3 linked regions of the Arabidopsis thaliana genome follow. The protein of the gene in region 1 binds, or shares a complex with, the protein of each later gene. Each region holds a gene or a part of one and is shown on either strand. Other genes may lie near its edges.

Region 1 (5,117 bases):
TGAAAGAACATATTGACTAACCGAAGCAAGCACAGAGGCTTTTGATTTGGAAAGATCAAGTCTCTGTACAGCACTTCAAAAAAGAAAGTAGCAGTCAGTTTCACATATTTTAAACAAAATAAGTTGCAGCCAGCTTTACAAGCGTCAGAAGATTTTTTTTTAAAGAAGATCAAAATACTACCGCCCATCATATATAAGAGTCAGCAGCAACAATTCCCCAGATTTTGTCGACAATAGGGCCACATCGTTCGATATCCAGGTTCCATGGGCAGCATCAAGCTCCACACTGAAATTTGATGCAGGCAGTTCTTGACTGAAAGAAATCAGACGCACACAGAGATAGAAATGTGGTTAACAGTATAAACAGAGTTTTACAAATGTTGAAAGTTGATTCTAAGCTTTAGGATTCTAAACTAAGACTGAGGTAACAAGATTATATCCATAAGCATGAAGCAGGTTTTGAAGAGTGGGGAGGTGCGAGAAAACTGTACCTGCTATCAGCTGAGGAGGCATAATTGTTCAGTGCCAGAGCACAGGAGGCTGACTACAAATATATATGGTATCCAGATGTGTGAGTAACTGTAGAACTTTGAGGTGGAGTGGCTGGAATTGTTGAATTTTAAACAAGAAACAACCAAAAGCTAAGTAATATAAAACTACCTGACTATGATAATGGATTGTATTTGCACACAACACAAGAACACCTCCGATCGGAGATGGTACTGCAAGTAGTTTGTAGGCATCATGGGGCAGATTCTGGAAAATACCAAAAGAATGGGAATAAGTATGATCAGGGACTAACGTTTGCCGAAGTAACTATTTCAGTCATGAAATAGCTTGTTATTTTAGGAAATTTTTCCTAAAGAAAGATCAACTCTTTGAGCATTCTAAACAAAAAATAGAGCATCGTCATAGCTGATTGGAAAGTCTAGTCATGTAACAACAGTGGATATTCAATAACCTTTTAGATGACTTCAATTTCTACCCTTAGCTTACAATATAGTTAATAGTGCAACTCAAATATTTAATTTCTTGGGAAGAGATCTATTATAAGATACAAAGAGGAAAATACGAACATACAATAGCTGACCAGATGACTGGGTGTTGTTTTAATGTCGAATTGATACTAAGGGCAGAAAGCACGCAAGTATGGTGCTTCCATGAAACTCGCCCAGCCCAAGTATGCTCTTCTTCCTGAAGGATGACAATTACAGGCTCAATATAACCTGAAGAAGACACAGGATGCAAAAACACATAATCAAAAGAAGCACCACTTAGTTTATTCTTTATGCCTACTGGGAAAACTAGAATATCTAAAATTTCAGACAGCTAGTTATTGAAAAATCAAAGAAACAATACATTTCCTCTTGTTTCAAACTGTAATCATGACCAGAATACATCAGTTGTCGTATTGAATCTACAAACAACAACTTAGTAAGCTAGATCCATTCAAGGACACAAGATTCGATGCAAGTTGAGCAGCTAAGAAACAATCATCATAATATATTTATGATTAACTACTGATTCAGAGATAAGTTTATGAAGAAACCTTGCTTGCTAAACCTACCATGTAGAAAAACAAAATCTTTGACGTGTTTCATTTCCAGATCACGCAAGTTAATTATGTAAGATGATTCAACTCGAGCAGAAACTGTCCCTCCAGAACTGAACGCATCATCATCTCCAACTAGTCCAGAACCAACCTAAAACCCAAAATAAAGTTCATAAAAGAAAAGAATGAAGGTTGGAAATTTGTAGCAGATAAAGCGACAGTTAAGATGAAGTTGATTAATAATGCCAAAACAAAAACCTGGGAAGTCTTGAGTATGATCATCTGCAAACCATAAACAAGAACGCCGCCACATCTGCCTTGAGGATCCACTTTTACCAAAGGGCCTCTTGGAAAAGACTCTCTTCCTCTTTTCAGATGAAGCCAATCTGGACCCTCAAAACAATGCATCGAACTGAAAAGGAACCACATATCCATTATTATTTGTTGAAGTCATGTATAGGAGTCAATGGTACATAAATTAGATAACTAGAAGAAACAATCAGACATAGACAATAGAACGCTTCAGTATATGATCCAATACTACGTAACTTGCATCGCTAGAAACAATAACAATGCGTAAGTAAAGACCAAAACTTTGAGAAGTATAAAACAGTTAAAACAATAGTTGGACACAGAACATCTCGTATATAGGTCAAAAGAAACAATTGAGAGGAGACAGAGCTGAAACTAAAGCTGAATTCATTTATTTATTTACCAAAACCAACAAAAGCAAAACACTCTTACGTCATCCTAAGGCTGTGAATTGAATCATCAAACTCAAGAACTGAAATTTTGGCGTCGCGAAATGTCAATATAATCGAATCTCTTCCCTTAGAAGAATTACCACCTCCCATAGGAAGAACCGCAATTGACTCAACATTACCGTGCAACCTACAATCCAATACCAATCACATCGTCACTTCAAAGTCAAAGTACCAAAATTGGAGTAATTTAGGAGGTAATTGTCAACAAACACGTACCTATAATGGCACACGAGCTCGAGAGAAACACCATAGACACCATCCATAACTCCACCACGCTTAGCAAGCTTCGGATTCCTCAGCTCCTGAGTATTCCCTTCCTCTTGAGCCCTAACGATGTACACCTCAAGGATATTTGCGGCGGTTATAACGACGTTGGGCAAAGGACCAATACCTCGTTTAGGATTAGGCCACTCAGCTTCAATATCATCATGAACGGAAACAATCGGAATCTGTAGCGTTGAATCGGAGAGAGAGTGGGTGATATAGCCGGAAGCACAGTTCTCGACGCCGGTAGGCCAATGCATCATCTTATAGGCCGCGAAACTCATCTTCTCTACCGGAATCTGGGATTCAGAGATTCTAATTCTAAAAATTGAAATTGAACTAAGAAGATTGGGAAGTGAGTGTGAGAGCAATTTAGGGTCTCGATTTTGTGAACATTAAAAGATCAAATCCTTAAACCCACGGGTTTTAATTTTAGGTTGGTTTTTTTTTTTAAGGGGAAACAGTATATACTCTTTATTACGAGTTTGGTCTTTACGAATTTCTTTTCCTTTAGTTTTTTTTGGGGATTATTTGTTTGCAAAAAGAACATGAAATATTTTGCGAAATCCGTTATATGTATCAAACTTGTATTGTCCAAAAAGTAATACATTTTTAAAAAAATAAATGTAATGTTCTGTTTTTAAAAGCATTAAATCAATGATGATGTGGATGCATAAGAATTGAGAAGAGAAGAGAGGAACTTGTTATGAACTTTCTGATTGGGACACATATACACATCTTTGGTCAAATGATGTTTTTCCAATGATCTTTATTTTGTTTATAATTTTCTATATCGTTTGTCAACAAATAATGCCCAAAAAAAGAGGTATTTCTTATCACTATCTATGACACACCAAAGCCAAAGGGAAGATAGTCCAATCTTTATTTAATACCCAATATATACCATGAAACCAAATTTCTTCTAGAAATATACTACAACATAAAAGTAGTGGATTTTGCACCATGATTTTGTTTTTGCAACATAAAAGTATTAGAAAGTGTTATCAATCATTTTGAGTTTCATTACTGCATTAAAACTTTATATATCGAAATATATCATTTTGTAAAATATTTTTGTTTTCCTTTTTAGTTCTAAAAAAGATCCTTAGTATCAAATTTCCCCAAAAATCTTTATACTTCTAATAAAAAAATCTCAGCAAAAATATGTAAGAGATAAACGTATTTATTATTTATGTTTTAGATTGTGTTTTTGTAATTAGTATTTTAACCCCTTAAACAACTTAGAGACGATAAAAAAAAATATAATTTTCACTTAGAAAGAGGATGACAGTAATTGTTTTGGAGAACAAGGGGATGCCTTATAAGGTTTATGAAAACAAATGCTAATAATTAATTGATTTAAAGATACGTTCATATAATATTTCTTATTAATTGTTGAAAAATCTTGAAAAGGAAAATAACCAACTTTGGGCTTCCTCTACTTCTCACCTCTTGTCCTCATAAAATAAGAAACCTCCTGCAAGTCTCTGTGAAACGATTTTGAGTGTTCCTCCCCCATACAAGACGACAACAATGATAGCTTTAAGTTTAACCACCTATAACTACTCTTTTTACATACTTCTTCTTCTGCTTCATCCTCTTTTTCTCCAAATTTTTATCTTATTTCTCATTACCAGAAGAAAAAATGTCAAGGAAGAAAATTTTTACACTGTGCTTGTTAAAACTATTCACAAAGAGATACTCTCTTAGGCTCCAAAGCCTCGATTCCTTTTCGAGGATTTTTGGCATCCTTTAGTGGCCAAAGGAGTTCAACGTGTGGTTCAGGAGAGGAAAGAGGGACTTGAAGCTCAAGGGAAAGAAGAGGGAGTTGAAAAGGTTCTTGTGGAGAAGGAGAAAGAAGAGGCTCATGTCTCATGGGAAAAGGATGGATCTGTGTCTGTTGCATACACATATGCCATTCATCACTTTAACCTTGAACGTGACCTTATCAACTACTCCAAGTGGACTGTTTCTGCACCTGGTAACGAAAATGACTACTTTGATACAAAAATCCTTGAAGAAGAAGTTGGCATTATCTGGGATCTCAAGGAGAAGAAGAAGGACAAGAAGAAAGAGGAGGAGGAGGATGACGTGGAGAATGACATAAGGAAGCTTATTTCTCTGTGAATCAAGTTTGGAAGTAAAATCAAACTAACTACTGCAGATTTAAGGAAACTGGCAAACGACAAGCAGCAACTTAAGAAACTTCTGAGAGAGTTTGAGAAAAAGAACGATGAGTTTATTGAAAAGTTGATGAAGGAGAAGAAGCTTGAAAAGAACAAGCGCAAGAAGGGGAAGAAAGGGAAAACGTTTATTGTTAATCGAGAGTGAGGATTTTGATTTATTTTCAAGTTAAGTTTGATATAATAAAAATCTAATAGTCTAACCAAATGTAGTTCGGTTTAGTTTAACTAATAATCTAGTTCAATTAAAAAAGTTGGACATACACGATTAAACTAATTATGAAATATAACCGTAATAATTATAATATCATGCAAAATGACCAAATCAATAAAAAACTTCAAAAAAGAAAAAAG
Region 2 (6,063 bases), on another chromosome or scaffold:
GAAGAAAAAGAGCCGTCGTGTCGTGGACGGAGTAGAGGCGCATGTTGATCACGCGCCGCCGTGGAATCTGAAGAATACGATGACATTAGTAACGAAGAGAATTGAGATTCTTCTTTCTCTCTGCTCTAGAAAACGCTAAGCCATGGCGGACAGTTTTAAAAAATGGTTTTAGTTAATTAACATTAATTGAAGATTAGACACAGTCTTATAAGTTAATTATCATTATCACAATAAGTCGTACGTCTTTAACCTTAAAGGATCCGGTTAGGAGTGGCCATTCGGATAAACGGGTCGGATTCGGGTAAAATTCGATCGAATACGGTTTTTCGGGTAGAGAAGTTTAGGATTCTATAGGGTAAATCTAAAATATCGGTTCGTGTATAGATTTTAGGCCTTTTTTAGAACCATACTTGATTTTGCGGGTAAATATGCAAATTTTTCGGATTTCGAATAAAATTTAAATTTTTGATTAAAATATTCATGTATTTTTGGGTTCGACTTCAGATTTGGTTTTTAGGGTAGAAGAATTTAGGACACAAGTAAATTTTCGGATTCAGATTCAGTTTCGGGTAATTGGTTCCGGTTTTTAATACGGGTGTTACTTTGTTAGATAGAAATTGGCGCTAAAGTTGGTAAGTTTAGTTACTACTGGGTTAATTTAATTTACTAGGATCAAAACTTTTACATATGCCGACAGAAAAACGACAAAAACTGAAAACACTTCTCAGTGTTACAAGAATCAGTGATTTAGTTTGATAGCATTGATGATTTCCCAGCCAAGCTCTAAATCTGCGATAGACCAGTTGCAACACAAGAACACAGCTTCACTACTACTACTACTGCTTCGATGCATACACTTGTCTTTTAGACACAAAGAGCCCTTGAAAGATGCAACCTGCAAACAGTTTTCAGATTCATGGATCTGAGCACCAGACACTGTCTTCAAGATCTTTGCAGACAATTGTTTGATTAGATCAACATCATCATCTTCTGATTCTCCTTTAACTTTCACTGGACAACAATGAGCTAAAGAGACCACATGGTTTTTCTCATGTAACACCTCAGAGATTTCATCTTGGTGAACTATCTTTGCCTTTTTGCTCTTCTCTATTACCAAAACCCCGTCTGCGGTTCTATGGTCTGTAACACGGAGCTGAGTAGAGTTTGAGAATTTGAAATTCGGGTTGGAGCAGCTTTTTAGGAACATATCAGAAGCGTTTGCTTTTATATAAGTGGTTGAAGCGAATGAAACTGTTTCGCCATTGGCAGGGACGAAACAGGGGATGTCAAGCTCTGAGGTTATCTTTTCCTTAAGAATCATCATGCTGGGTTTTTCGCCGTGCACGAGTACAACGTTCTTTGGGGAAAGGAACTTTGTGAGATCCATTATTCCTTTTGCATCTGTGTGAGGACTGAAAGCCACTTGATGTACCTGATAACAACAGAATCAACAAGACATTTTAGTTTAGGTTCAACGTGTGAATTGGACGCATTGCTGTTTTCGTGTTAAGGTTACATAAATTTTGTGAGAACCAGAAGAAAGAGTAAACAAACCTTGCAACGGACATCGACCTTGGTGCCATTGTAGAGATCAACCGTCGTGGGTTTACCAGCCATCAGTTTGTGCCCAACGGTCCCAGCCACAGAGTATCTGTAAAAAACGGATCCATAAATGGATGAAAAGAGATACAATTTCGTGTTAGATGCTATGCTAGGAAAAAACTGAATTGCTAATAAAGGGGAAACACAATAGGTATAGTACCCGGGTAATGCAACAAGATTCAAGGGAGAAGGAGCCCAGTGCTTGAACACTTCAAGTGAAAAGCCAGCACAAAGCATACCAGGTGTGGCAAAGAGAACACATGGCCCAGGAGCATGTATAAGAGATCGATCGAAATCTTTAACTGCAGAATGTGAAGGTAGTAGTTAGAAAGCAAGCAGAGTTGTACAGCTAAGGTAGTGGATAAGAACAAAAAATGGACGCAAAGGATGTATTAGAACCACTAGTTTGGTTCTTATTTTTCAAGCACATCAGAGTTTCGGTTCCATATGATATAAATTTCATCTTCAACGTTCTAAAGTTATTTGCAAATGGTAGTACACATACCATTCTTAAAATCAAATGGGTTATGCGTATTGTGCTTTTCTTTAACGTTCTGGCTTGTCCAGCTGATGAGCATTTTGTAATACATATTTGCTTGGATGGTCAAACCTGCAAAAGTACAAATTTATCTTCAGGGACAGCAATTTTCAGAAGATAGAGATCACTATTCATGAAATAGAGTCACGACTTTGTTGAGCTGACTAATCTGCAGAATTGATTTCATATGAGGATTGGTGGTGATTTAACAGACCTGATGAGAAGTAAATTGGAACCTTTATATTCATGCGTTCCCAGTAATCATCAAGCAGCATGCAGAGTTCCTGAAAAAGGAAACGCAATTGTCAATGAGACATAAGAGAAGCAAAGACAAGTTTAAGTAACTGACTTCAAAGCTCTGTAAGAAGACAGACCTGAGCCCTTCCAAGAGCAAATGAAGGAATCAGCGCCTTCCCTCCGCCAGCAACACATTTATGAACCTGGAAGAGTTTTCTGAGATATCAGACAATTACCAAACGAAAGCTTAAGCATTTCCTGAAGGGGTATATTGATCAGAAACAAGCCAAAGGTGATGCGGGTAATTATAATCAAAAACCATTTAAGAACAAATTTAGAAACCATGTGTTAATAGTTACAAGTAGACATACAGCTTGAAGAAACTCTCTCTCCCGGGGATATTTTGAGCCGCGAATGGTAGTTGCATATGTGGACCTAAAACGGCATAGTTAAACCTATATCAGGTAAACTTGTTCTTTCTAAGTTTGTTGAAAAATACCAGCGAACAAGTTTGTATTTGTTTTCCATACTCTGAAATGAGAAGATCCAACTGGAGTCTGTCAATTTTAGCAGCTCCTAGATGTCTATCTGTCGTCATATTGTAATCTCCAGTGTACACAATCGCTGCATCTCCCATCTTTGCATAAACCATCACTGCTCCAAGGACCTTATGATCAATACAAAATAAGCTTTAAAAAATACAGAAACTCTGAATATAAAAAACACAGAAAGAAATTCACTAAAACCAGAACGAATGTCTTACATGCCCTGCATAATAAGCCCGGATTTGAAGATCTTCATCAACCTGAATTGTTTGCTTCAAATCTATTGCAATTACTACATATAAAAAAACAAGAGGAAGTCAAGTTATAGACACTGCATCTGAATTCGTGCACAAAGACCTCAAATGAACTAAATCCAATATTCAAGTACCTTTTTTCATGCAGTTTGCGATATGGGTAGTGGTGAATAGCTCCTCCTCGCCTCTTCTATCCACCATCACTCTTCGGTAGTCCTCAAGCATTAATGGAGACAAAGCCTTTGTGGGATACTACAAAAGAGACAAATCAAAGTAAACAACCTTTACCTTCACAAAAAAAAAACAGTCAGTCAAACATTTCATCGAACACCTTGAGGACAATATAACTCACCGACATATAAATCGGACCATTGTACCCACAAACTTCCGTGAAGTAAGGAAGCGCTCCAACATGATCCATATGGCTATTAACACTCACAATTAAAACCCACAAAAACTAAAAAAGTGAATTTTAAAAAAGGGACAAATTCTGGGTTTGAAGAATCAATACAAGTGTGTGATGATGATACAAGAGATCGCGTTGTCAAAATCACCGGATTTAGATATGAGAGAAAAATTTGGGTAACGATTGTGATCATCACAGCCCATATGCATCCCACAATCGAACATTATCTTTTTACCATTAATCGTCACTACCACACAGCTCTTTCCAATCTCTTGTCCAGCACCTGGATACAACACAAAAAAGATAGAATTATACAGAAATTGAAATTGTGAAACTTTGAAGAAGCAAAGAGAGAAGAAGAAGAAGAACAAAAACTGTTACCAAGTACGAGACAATCGATAGCCATAGTTACTGAAGAAATAAACAACAATTTGAGTTTCAAAACTCGTCGATGGTCAAAAATATCTTACTCGTTGAATCAGAACACAAATTCAAGTGACCGGAGAAAATTTTGAAGGGGGCGAGAGAAGAAACAGAGTTAGGTCGACAAACGAATTTGAATGGCGGCAAAGTGTTCAGTGACATCGGAACCGTTCGGAGTTATTACACGTGTCTGATCCAACCGTCGATATTTTTGTGGTGTGAAGCCCAATAATAGTTCTTCTCACGGCCCATTAAATTTAAAAGTTTGAAACGACAACGTCTCATGTCGTTTTTAATCTGAGGAAGAAAAAAGCTCGTAACTAATCCCTAAATCAAGAGAGAAGTGAGAGACACTGAGACTTTGTAGTTGACCGGATCATTCTCACTTCGCCGGCCGACGTTCTTCCTTCCGCCGTCGGTATCTATATTTACGATCCACGATCTCTCTTGCTGTTTCTGTCTTCATCGGTGAGTAATTTTTTACTGATCTTCCAAATCCTATCAATTCACCATCTCTGAGCTCTTTCGTTGATTTGAGTTTTGTTCTTACTGCAGTGACGAAAATGGCTGCTCGTATCGGGATCTTCTCCGTCTTCGTAGCTGTATTGTTATCTATTTCTGCATTTTCCTCAGCTCAGGATCTCCAGATCGTAAATGCCGAGCGAAGGGTAAGATTCTCCGATCTATCTTCTTCTTACAATTCATAAACTTCCTTAATGGATCCCGTTTCTCCGATTTATGGAAATTCAAGTTAATGAAGTTGCCGTTGGGCTTTGCTGTTTCTCCGATCTATACTCGGTTTGTAGAATTACTGTGTGATTGGTCACTTCATGGTTGATCATCATCGATAGGCTTCATATGTATGTACATTGATAGATAGTGTGACTTTTCATCAGTTATACGTTTGATTTGAGTAATTAGAAAGTCTAATGATAGAACCTGTTTGCAAAATTTTCTTGCCCGAAACTGAAATGCTTCTCCTTTGTGTTTGTTTTTGTCTACAGATTGATTTAAGCTCACATATCGTGAAGGCCTTCTTGACTCTCAAGGTATTTATAAGCAAATGTTTATAATAGTTATTCCTATTGAATATACACTGGAAGGTTGGAACTTAGAATTGGAAAATTAAAGCTTTTTTGGATATGTTATATGAAACTGCAGCTGTTTTTCTTTTAGTCAAATTTAGTTTATTGTAGTGATACTTGTTGTAAAGGTTGGAACTTTAGTGGCTTTGATTCGTTGTGACAGTTAATTTGATATTATCGCTTTTCTCCTTCATCATCTTTAAGTTTTTCTATTAGGAGGTGACATTTTCTTGTCTGGATTTCTTTCTTCAGGTTGAAAATATTGGGAAAGATCCTGCTGCAGAAATGCTTCTTGCTTTCCCACCTACCCAGATCAAGAATTTGGCTATGGTACAAGCCCTGGCAACTACTGGCAAGAAGAAGAAGAAAACTTATTTGCCATTAGATGTAAAACCAACTGAACAACCTGATGCACCAAATGACACTGGATACTACCGTGTTACGTTTATTAGCCCCTTAGGTCCGGGTGAAACTGTTTCACTTGAGGTGCTTTACATATTGACTCATTCCTTGGAACCTTTCCCAGTGGAGATAACCCAGTCAGAATCTCAATTGGTTTACTATCATGATAGTGCAGTGATATTGTCACCGTATCATGTTAAGCAACAGACAACTTTTATTAAGACTCCTAGTACTAGAGTAGAGTCGTTCACTAGCATTGAACCTGCTAACCGGGCTGGCAAAGAGATCAAATATGGACCATATGAAAATCGTGCTTCATACTCTTACACACCTGTCATCATTCACTTCGAGAATAACAGTCCATTTGCTGTTGTTGAGGAGCTTGTGCGTGAAATTGAGATTTCACACTGGGGTAGCCTTCAGATTACAGAAAATTATAGGTTGACTCATGGGGGAGCGAGGCATAAGGGTGTTTTCTCAAGGTATGTAATGGGACTAATAACTTCTATAATGTATGAGGTGACATCTGAAAATTTATCTCTAGGAGTTAGATGTTGCAGAATTTCGATTT
Region 3 (7,901 bases), about 13 Mb from region 1:
ATGTTTAACACATATGGTTGGTTTAATTCACAAGTGAAAAAAAAAAGCTAGATGCCACGTCAGCACGAAGCCAAGACCAGGTGTTGAAAGCTCTTGAATGGAAAGTGTTTTCGCTTTCATTTTAAACTTTTGAGAGAACATACAAGGAACAAAGAAGAGAGTTTATCACGTTTTACTGTTTTAGTTTACCGCTTTACCGAAATAGGAGTGGAATATATCCAATGACAACTTAAGCTTCTACTAAGATGACAAGTACAAAAAAGTTACAAAAAGCTATTGCCATTTTTAACACATTAATCTATAAGATTTGAGGGTTATAAGCAAGGCAATAAACTATACGAGATTACATGTTGAGTGGTTGAAAAATGTTGAGAAAATGAGAAGAAGCTTCATTTTTTTTCTATATCATGCTCAGAGGAGGTAGAACTGAGAATAGAGATAATCCCTGATTTTGTAATAGTCTTCACACAACGGTCCTTCTATCAGAATTTGCTGTGGACCCGATGCTCCTCCCTGAACAATCCCCAACATATATAAGTCATTCTCTGATTTGTTGTAAGAAATGCAGTATTTGCTTTGAATTACCTTTTGACCCGTCGGTCCAACCTTTCGTAGAGTGACATATTCACCACAACGTAAAGCTCCTCCACCTGCAAATTCTACCTGAACACCCTTGCTCGACAGAAACTGCTTGAAGTCTGCGATTTTCAGATCACCTACTAGAACAGGTTTGTGTGGCGAAGCAGCACCTGGCATCGGTAGTAGAGACCTCATGTCCCTCTCTGTCTTCCCTACTTCGGAATCCACCCAAGCTACTTCTGAATCTCCCAGCTGATATTATTTCATCATTCTTCAGAGACATTGGTTGCAAATCGGAAAAGAAGAAAAAAATAGTCACGGAAATAAAAGGTACCTTCTTGAAGATCACATTGCTCATCAGCTTTTCAGAAAGTTGGACCTGATGTATCACCATACAGGGTTAATTCAATCACACAACTCAAAACCCATGAGTTAAAAAGGATCTTCCTAATTCTAAGTAATTTCTACCTTGTAAGCACATAAATCAGAAGTCACATCGACCGTTTCCTCTATTTGAGGAGCATACACGTGTGGACAGATGTTGTTCAAGCAGTGTTGCTTCAAATGCTCTGTAGCCTCAGCTATCGCGTGCACCAAAACCTTCACATGATATATAGTATTAGATCACCGCAAGTTTCCAGTTCAGTGCTTAACACTATATATATATAAGACGAGAGAGAAACGTACAAGTTTTAAAGGAGAAACATGCGCAATCATTGACTTGATTGAGCGGCCATCTGACCGACCTTCATAGTCCATTTTAACAAGTGAACAACTAACAGTCACCTGTGCAAAAGCATAAGAACAAACTAAATCATTTATCAGGGAAATTAGACAGCAGTTAGGTATAGACAGAAGAAGACTAAAGAGCCATATTGTTTTGTTTAGCAGGCAAGGCCTACGTTCTGAGAATAACCTTCTGAAACTTCTACATGACATAAGATCAAGTGGGTAAAAGTAAGAACACAAAAGTTGTTCAATAACAAGAAGAAAATTAGACCGATTAATCCAAACAACAAAATATCTGTAAGTTGAATTATCGTGCTAAAGATCTGATTAGCAAGGTCTCCCGTGATAACTAATTAGAAGATCAATTAATAAATTTCTTGTATGCATATCATCAGATGAAGATAAATTTGACAGGCACAACGCCATGTCAATGAGAATTCCTATCTCTCTATTTCTAAGTGAGAAGACTACTCCTTGTGCCTATCATTGATAAGCAGTCTATAACAATAATCAGAGATTCTAGAAAGGGAGAACAAATGAGGACATTAACTGAGACAAAATCTCTATCAATGTATTGTTCTTTGGATATAATTAGAGTCTACTTACAATGAGCTCATTGGACATGACTTTCGAAGGTCTTGTATCAAGCATGAGACTAGCAGTTGCCTCATCAAGCCTTCCGTCCACATCACCTCCGTTCTGAAATGGAAAATTATATCACAAATTTAATAAGCAACACAAGACTCTACATAGAATGACCCTAAACCTTTACTAGTAAGCAATCAGTTGTTAAGGAAAATATAAAGATGGAACTGTAGAACCAGTGCACTCATTTGAAGAACTGCACTCATACCAAATCAAGAGCCTAAGCAACTTTATGGCAAAAGATTTCCTATCTGTATCCCAAATCCTCAGAGCATATCATGCAGATTTCTTACATCTTTGTTCTTCTTGATACAAAAATCGTAAAAGGAACCACCACTATGCAAACATCATGGAAATTAAGAGGTCTAATTTGCAAATATAACAAGAGCTAAGAAAGACCAAGACCAAGACCAGAATTCAAGGAACGTACATGCATTGCTCCTCGGTCCATGTCTTCATCCTTGATCACATAGTCATCTGGATTAATAATCTCCCCAAAGTCGTCCCATTCAGATGTGTTATCATAATATGGGAACATTGGAGCTACGCTGCTGGATGGGGGAACAAATCCATCAATCAATATATCTTTATATGCAGGCCCGTGAGAACCAATAACTGCAAGAGTAGTCAGAAATGTAAAAGGTCAGTTGCAGACCACTATGTAGTGGAAAGAAGAGCAATCAACAACGGTAGCCAGAGGTCTAATTGAAACAGACACATATTGTGGGACTGTGAAAAACTAAACAAATTACCCAGAAATGTATTGTGAGACTTCTAAATGTAGCTTCTAGGTCACTCAAGATAACCACATAAATGCCTCCTAAAACCAACTAACCAGTACATTACAGAGGGTACTATGTGCATAGCCATTTTCAGTACTAGATACTTCAATTAAGTTAAAGTTTACATGAAAAATAAGAAGTTACAGGCCACAGAATATTCAAGGGTAATAAAATGTTATATAAAATAAGAAAAAATTTACCATCGTGAGTAGTCTTGGTATCTATGATCATAGGTTCACTTGAATTATCATCGGATCCATGGGAAGCTTTTGTTTCCTCCTCTTTAACGAGGCTAGCTCGCAAAGCTTCTTCCCTTTTCAGTCTGTTTTGCTCTTCCTCATATGCAATTAACTCTTCCCCAGCCAAAGGAACCCTCTTAGACATGGTGACTTTAACAAATTTTGGAGGTGGGGCTGACTGAAGCATACGAGCTAAAGTGCCAAACTGCAAATAGAAGCAAATGACAATTAAAAATCAAACTAACAGCAGTTTAGTTTTATGTGATTGACTACAAACCGAAACATCTTGCAAATCTTAGATCACGTGAACTATGAATGGACACATGGAAAGTATAATCGCCATCGCAACTAAGGAACACGACCAATGGCAAAGGTAACAAATTGGATGAAGAACTTCGATAATTTCACTTGGATTTACGGTGTTACTGGTATTTCAAACTTAATAATTCCGTAATGCTCTGTTTTCTGGATAGATTGACATGGACAAGAAAGCATAGTCACACAGAACTGAGAAAAGCGTGAATAATTAACCAAAGCTTCCATTTGTTTCCAAACTATTTATTTGAATAAATTTATTTTTGTCTAGATTGAATTTTAATTAAAAGTATGATATTTCAGGGAACAGGATGATGTCTCGCTAGAAGAAAAATAAACAAAGTACGCGGTTACAAAAAAAAATTATGTTCATTTGAGATGAATGATATGGCCAATTAGACAGTTTGTGCATAGTGGTGTCAATTCCATTAATATGATAGTCTACTAAGACCCTTTATTTTGTACTGGATGTAACTAATTGATAAATTCAAGACTGAAAGCTCTGGAGATTATCCTAAAGGAGCAAGCCAGGCTTTGGTGGTAATTATAATGCTGCTTTAAGGTACTCAATCTCTGCCTATTGTGTACATATTGGGGGTAAATATCCACACATAAATGGGGGAACTCTTATTCAGATCAGAAGACAAAAAAGATTCTCATATATCCACTTAACTAGCTGATCAGCACTAGGAAAAGAATCTACCATCAGGTCTTTATAGCAATGCTAATAAATTTTCGTTCCTCAACGTATGTGGGTTCTAAAAACATACCTGGCCTGTTTCAGTAAAGAGGACTAAATTTCTGGGATCATTTGCCCACTCCACGAATATCTCTCGAGCAAAACCGGCTTCGAGACTAGCCATGGAAGCAAGAACAACCTATATTATGAGATTTAGTCACTACAACATATAATAGGAAAAAATCTAGTTCTATTATCAGCTGAAAAGACAGGAAATAATAATAAATCCACCACGTTCTATGTACTAACAAACACTAATGAGTTACTTATAATTTTATAAACAACCTTTGGACCAGGTGGAGCATTATCCAGATCAGTCTTGTTTATCAACAGAGTGACATGCCTGCATGTGTTTAAATTTCATGTGATGTCTTCTGTATTCTAAACAAACGACGGCACAAATAAGGCATTCTTATAAGAAAATCTACCTCAATAGAAAGGCATTATCACGTGAAGTCTCAAAGGACTTTGAAATGGAGTCACTCATCCACTCGAGGAAACTCTTAACATAGTCAATTGTGCTAGATGACACGTACGTGAGAAAATAAATGGGAAAGCTGAAACCTCTTTGTGACCAATGCTGCAGGTTTGATCAATATCCAGTCTTTAAAAAACAGCTGAACATTAACTAAGAGCATGATACATTCAAAGCGGTTCTATTACCTGTTCAAGTATCAAGAGAAGTTCCAGGACACGACCCGCAGTGTCTACTGGCAATAGAACATTTCCTCCAACTTCAAGATGTTTTGAAATGGTATCTGAATGATAAATGGGGACATGCACACATGTTTCTGGCAGTTAGAAGCGGGCTGTTTTAAATACTATAGAAGATACACAACACATATTGGGCTACAAGCTAACCTAGAAATTCTTTGTCCCTTTGCTGTCTTGCGGTTTGATTGGTATAAAGAGCATGATATGCATCGGTTATCAGAACAGCAGGCCGAACAAAAGACTGTAAAACAGTTCCATTCAAATGCCTGAATTAAGATATACAATTCAGTATCACGAGTCCACATCTTTACTTACTGTTATGAACATTACTCGAACTTCAAATAAGATAAAATCTGAACATATGTACCTTTCTTTCCGATGATTGTAGTCAACAGCATATATAACATCCTCCCCATCCTTTGTTATCCTCCAGATGCTACCTCCCAGCATGTGTCCAGCAACATGAGGAGCAATTACAATACCCTCTCCCTTTCCTGATAGGGCAACGATAAAACCTTGAGACATCCTAACAATCTTTGAAGTCATAACTTAGGTTTCAACAACCAAATACTCAATGTGTGTCAAAGAACTCCTTCCCGATATGAGATCATAGATAATGCAGATCAAACTTGCTTGAGATAAGTGTCAATTGTTTCTAGTTTGCTATAGAGCCTAGAAATCACTAAAACCACATACCAGAAAGATGGTAATTTTGAGAGTAAGTCAATCTGATCACATTCTGGAAAGCAGAATCTATGTCATCCAGTGTAAACAGATCAAAGTCGGATACTTGCTGCAACAGTAAGATCATCGTGTTACAATGCAGACAATTGCGCAAAAATAACCACTCCAGTAGTTAACAAAATCTCACCTTCCTGGACAAAAACTGATCATACATTGTAAGGAGACCTAATCTATGAACAGGCTCAGTAGCATAAACAGGAGCGGAGAGTCCAAGCTGCTTCATAGCATAAGGAAGAGCACCAATGTGAAGTGTATCTGGATGAGAAAGCAAAACTGCATCTATAGTAGAAGCAACCCTGTAAACCAGAAGAATCGAATTCAAAACAAATTAGATTGGTGAATTCTGGAAATGTAGATAATAAGGATAGAGAAACCTGGAGAGAGGTTCGAGGAGCGATGTGTCGAAGAGATCGTTCCAACCACAGTCGATGAGGAAGTTGAAACCATCAATGGAGACTAAGTAGGAGAGAGGATTCTCGTTGTAAACTCCGCAGAGAGGAGTCACTTGCACCGAAGTACCCATCTTTTCCGTTCGCCGATATAAACCCTAAAATTTCTCCGATGAACTAAAGAAGAAGAAGCCACCGTGAAAGAGGGTTTTTTAATTCTGTAATAATAACCTCCCCGGTCCATATATTTCCTTTTACTTCTAAAATAACCCTTTTCTTTTCAAATTGTTCATTTGGTACATATAATCTTTGAAATTTTTTCTCTCTTTACCTTGATTTTTTAACCAACACAAAGAGGGATTAGTGAATCTTTTACCAAAAAATGTTGTGGTAGCAGTGAAACATAGATGGTGAGTCCATTATAAGCATATGAGTCAATTCTATTGTATGTTCAAACTTCAAAGTAGATCGGTTTCATTATGATTGCTCATTCATTTAAAATTACATGAAACTTCATTCATTGTTTCAACATGAAAACATTAAACACACCCTTAAGGAAAAATAGGCAAATCTCCGTTAAATATACTAGAGTAAATCAAAAACTTTTAAGCAGTTGTACCAAATACACTAGATCTATGAGCATATGGTGCAACCAGAAGACCATTACAAGTTGATAAGAACTTACGCATAAACCTTTGTATTTATTATCCGTAAATCCCAATTACAATGAATCAAAACCCTATATTGATAAGATCGGAGTTACAATGCTCATCTCTTATCATCAAGAACATAGCACACAAGCCCTAATTCTCCTCACAACATCAATGATCACGCAGGATAATCTCTATAATTCCTCTCTAATATCCCTATTTATACTCTTTTATTCTTCTCATGCTTCTCTTTAGCTCTTCACACGTGCCTAATTCTCCCACATGTGTGCTCTCTTATCACTAATTAGTAAATGTTGCAACTAAAAGATCACTACAATGGTAAAAAAATGTTGGAAATCTCTTCTATGAAATAAGAGATATTAATGAATGAATTCACTTTCAGTTAATTTTGAATTAAACGTATTTGAATTCTGATATAGTATCGAAGTTCAGATCATTTGACATAGGTGTGTTGCGTAATACTTAATAATTCAATAGTTCGAGATGAACTATATATATCATTTGTTAGGAATATGATGGACAATAAGAAACAAGTAGCTGGTATGTTGATTGTGACGAATGATAAGTTCTTCCTGATTTTATTGATGCACGTTAGAAAGCCAAACAACATTTTGATTCAAAATTGTGATAGCTTCACTTCAAAGGCAACACAAAAAAAAAAAAAAAAAAAAAAAAAACATATGCATTTGGTGAAGGAGGACCCGTGAGGACCAAACCAAAATCATAATGGCTAAGGATAACAACCATAACTAACTATCAAACCTTTCTTTCTTGATATGAATATGAAAGTTGTAGTTAGGTAATAATAGGTTGATTAGTTAAAGAGTGTAAATAAATGTAATTATTATACTTGTTTTCATAAGAAAAATGACCAGAGAGATTGAAGACAATTGTTTGTGTGTGTTTTTTTTTGGTTCTTTAAAGATAGATTAAGAAGATTCGGTGAACCTAAACCAAAAGACACCTAAGAATGTGATTTTCGATTCTAATTCATCAGCTGGTGACCCACCCATCAAGACCCATCTCCATACTTAGAAAAATATCTAAAAATACAATACATTTTTTATAAATAAATAAAAAGAAAGTATCAAAATATGGTTATTCTTGCAAAAAAAAAAACTTTTTTTTAATCATTTGTTTTTTGTTTTTTGGCCTTATCTACGCCCTATGCTGTCTACTGCACATAACTAAACTTAGCTCTCGTGTGAAACTGATAAGTAGTAGTGTAGAACTGTTTTTGTGAGCCTGTGGCTGTCACTGAAATTTGTTTTTAATACCAATACAGAAATTGGATTTCAATACATTTACAGATTGAAAATTCTTACAAAAACATAAACAATGAATTTACAATGGTG

The links.
Region 2: CPSF160 (region 1) and CPSF73-II share a complex: the UniProt entries of both Arabidopsis thaliana proteins name them as parts of the CPSF complex.
Region 3: CPSF160 (region 1) and CPSF100 share a complex: the UniProt entries of both Arabidopsis thaliana proteins name them as parts of the CPSF complex.

Annotation. Positions count from the first base shown.
Region 1 is NC_003076.8:20,977,997-20,983,113, reverse strand, and holds the start of CPSF160 (cleavage and polyadenylation specificity factor 160), read right to left. Parts: upstream 3,110-5,117; 5' UTR 2,865-3,109; coding exon 2,533-2,864; intron 2,444-2,532; coding exon 2,297-2,443; intron 1,965-2,296; coding exon 1,811-1,964; intron 1,704-1,810; coding exon 1,568-1,703; intron 1,227-1,567; coding exon 1,081-1,226; intron 757-1,080; coding exon 661-756; intron 545-660; coding exon 492-544; intron 314-491; coding exon 182-313; intron 74-181; coding exon 22-73; intron 1-21. Other genes in the region: AT5G51650 (uncharacterized protein), read left to right, coding at 3,865-3,906, 4,291-4,671, 4,714-4,911. UniProt on the Arabidopsis thaliana protein: CPSF plays a key role in pre-mRNA 3'-end formation, recognizing the AAUAAA signal sequence and interacting with poly(A)polymerase and other factors to bring about cleavage and poly(A) addition.
Region 2 is NC_003071.7:318,522-324,584, reverse strand, and holds CPSF73-II (cleavage and polyadenylation specificity factor 73 kDa subunit-II), read right to left. Parts: upstream 4,153-6,063; 5' UTR 3,989-4,152; coding exon 3,964-3,988; intron 3,866-3,963; coding exon 3,688-3,865; exon of another isoform or gene 3,602-3,687; coding exon 3,529-3,601; intron 3,429-3,528; coding exon 3,311-3,428; intron 3,215-3,310; coding exon 3,141-3,214; intron 3,045-3,140; coding exon 2,908-3,044; intron 2,813-2,907; coding exon 2,749-2,812; intron 2,581-2,748; coding exon 2,515-2,580; intron 2,425-2,514; coding exon 2,355-2,424; intron 2,213-2,354; coding exon 2,108-2,212; intron 1,905-2,107; coding exon 1,763-1,904; intron 1,652-1,762; coding exon 1,555-1,651; intron 1,433-1,554; coding exon 740-1,432; 3' UTR 622-739; downstream 1-621. Other genes in the region: RIE1 (RING-finger protein for embryogenesi), read right to left, coding at 1-86; AT2G01720 (Ribophorin I), read left to right, coding at 4,569-4,673, 5,010-5,054, 5,343-5,974. UniProt on the Arabidopsis thaliana protein: Component of the cleavage and polyadenylation specificity factor (CPSF) complex that play a key role in pre-mRNA 3'-end formation, recognizing the AAUAAA signal sequence and interacting with poly(A) polymerase and other factors to bring about cleavage and poly(A) addition.
Region 3 is NC_003076.8:8,050,658-8,058,558, reverse strand, and holds CPSF100 (cleavage and polyadenylation specificity factor 100), read right to left. Parts: upstream 6,121-7,901; 5' UTR 6,010-6,120; coding exon 5,861-6,009; intron 5,783-5,860; coding exon 5,614-5,782; intron 5,536-5,613; coding exon 5,439-5,535; intron 5,237-5,438; coding exon 5,110-5,236; intron 5,009-5,109; coding exon 4,890-5,008; intron 4,787-4,889; coding exon 4,692-4,786; intron 4,609-4,691; coding exon 4,457-4,608; intron 4,372-4,456; coding exon 4,314-4,371; intron 4,168-4,313; coding exon 4,060-4,167; intron 3,180-4,059; coding exon 2,936-3,179; intron 2,569-2,935; coding exon 2,384-2,568; intron 2,008-2,383; coding exon 1,915-2,007; intron 1,366-1,914; coding exon 1,267-1,365; intron 1,180-1,266; coding exon 1,048-1,179; intron 959-1,047; coding exon 914-958; intron 832-913; coding exon 586-831; intron 514-585; coding exon 412-513; 3' UTR 94-411; downstream 1-93. UniProt on the Arabidopsis thaliana protein: CPSF plays a key role in pre-mRNA 3'-end formation, recognizing the AAUAAA signal sequence and interacting with poly(A)polymerase and other factors to bring about cleavage and poly(A) addition. Required for antisense-RNA-mediated gene silencing.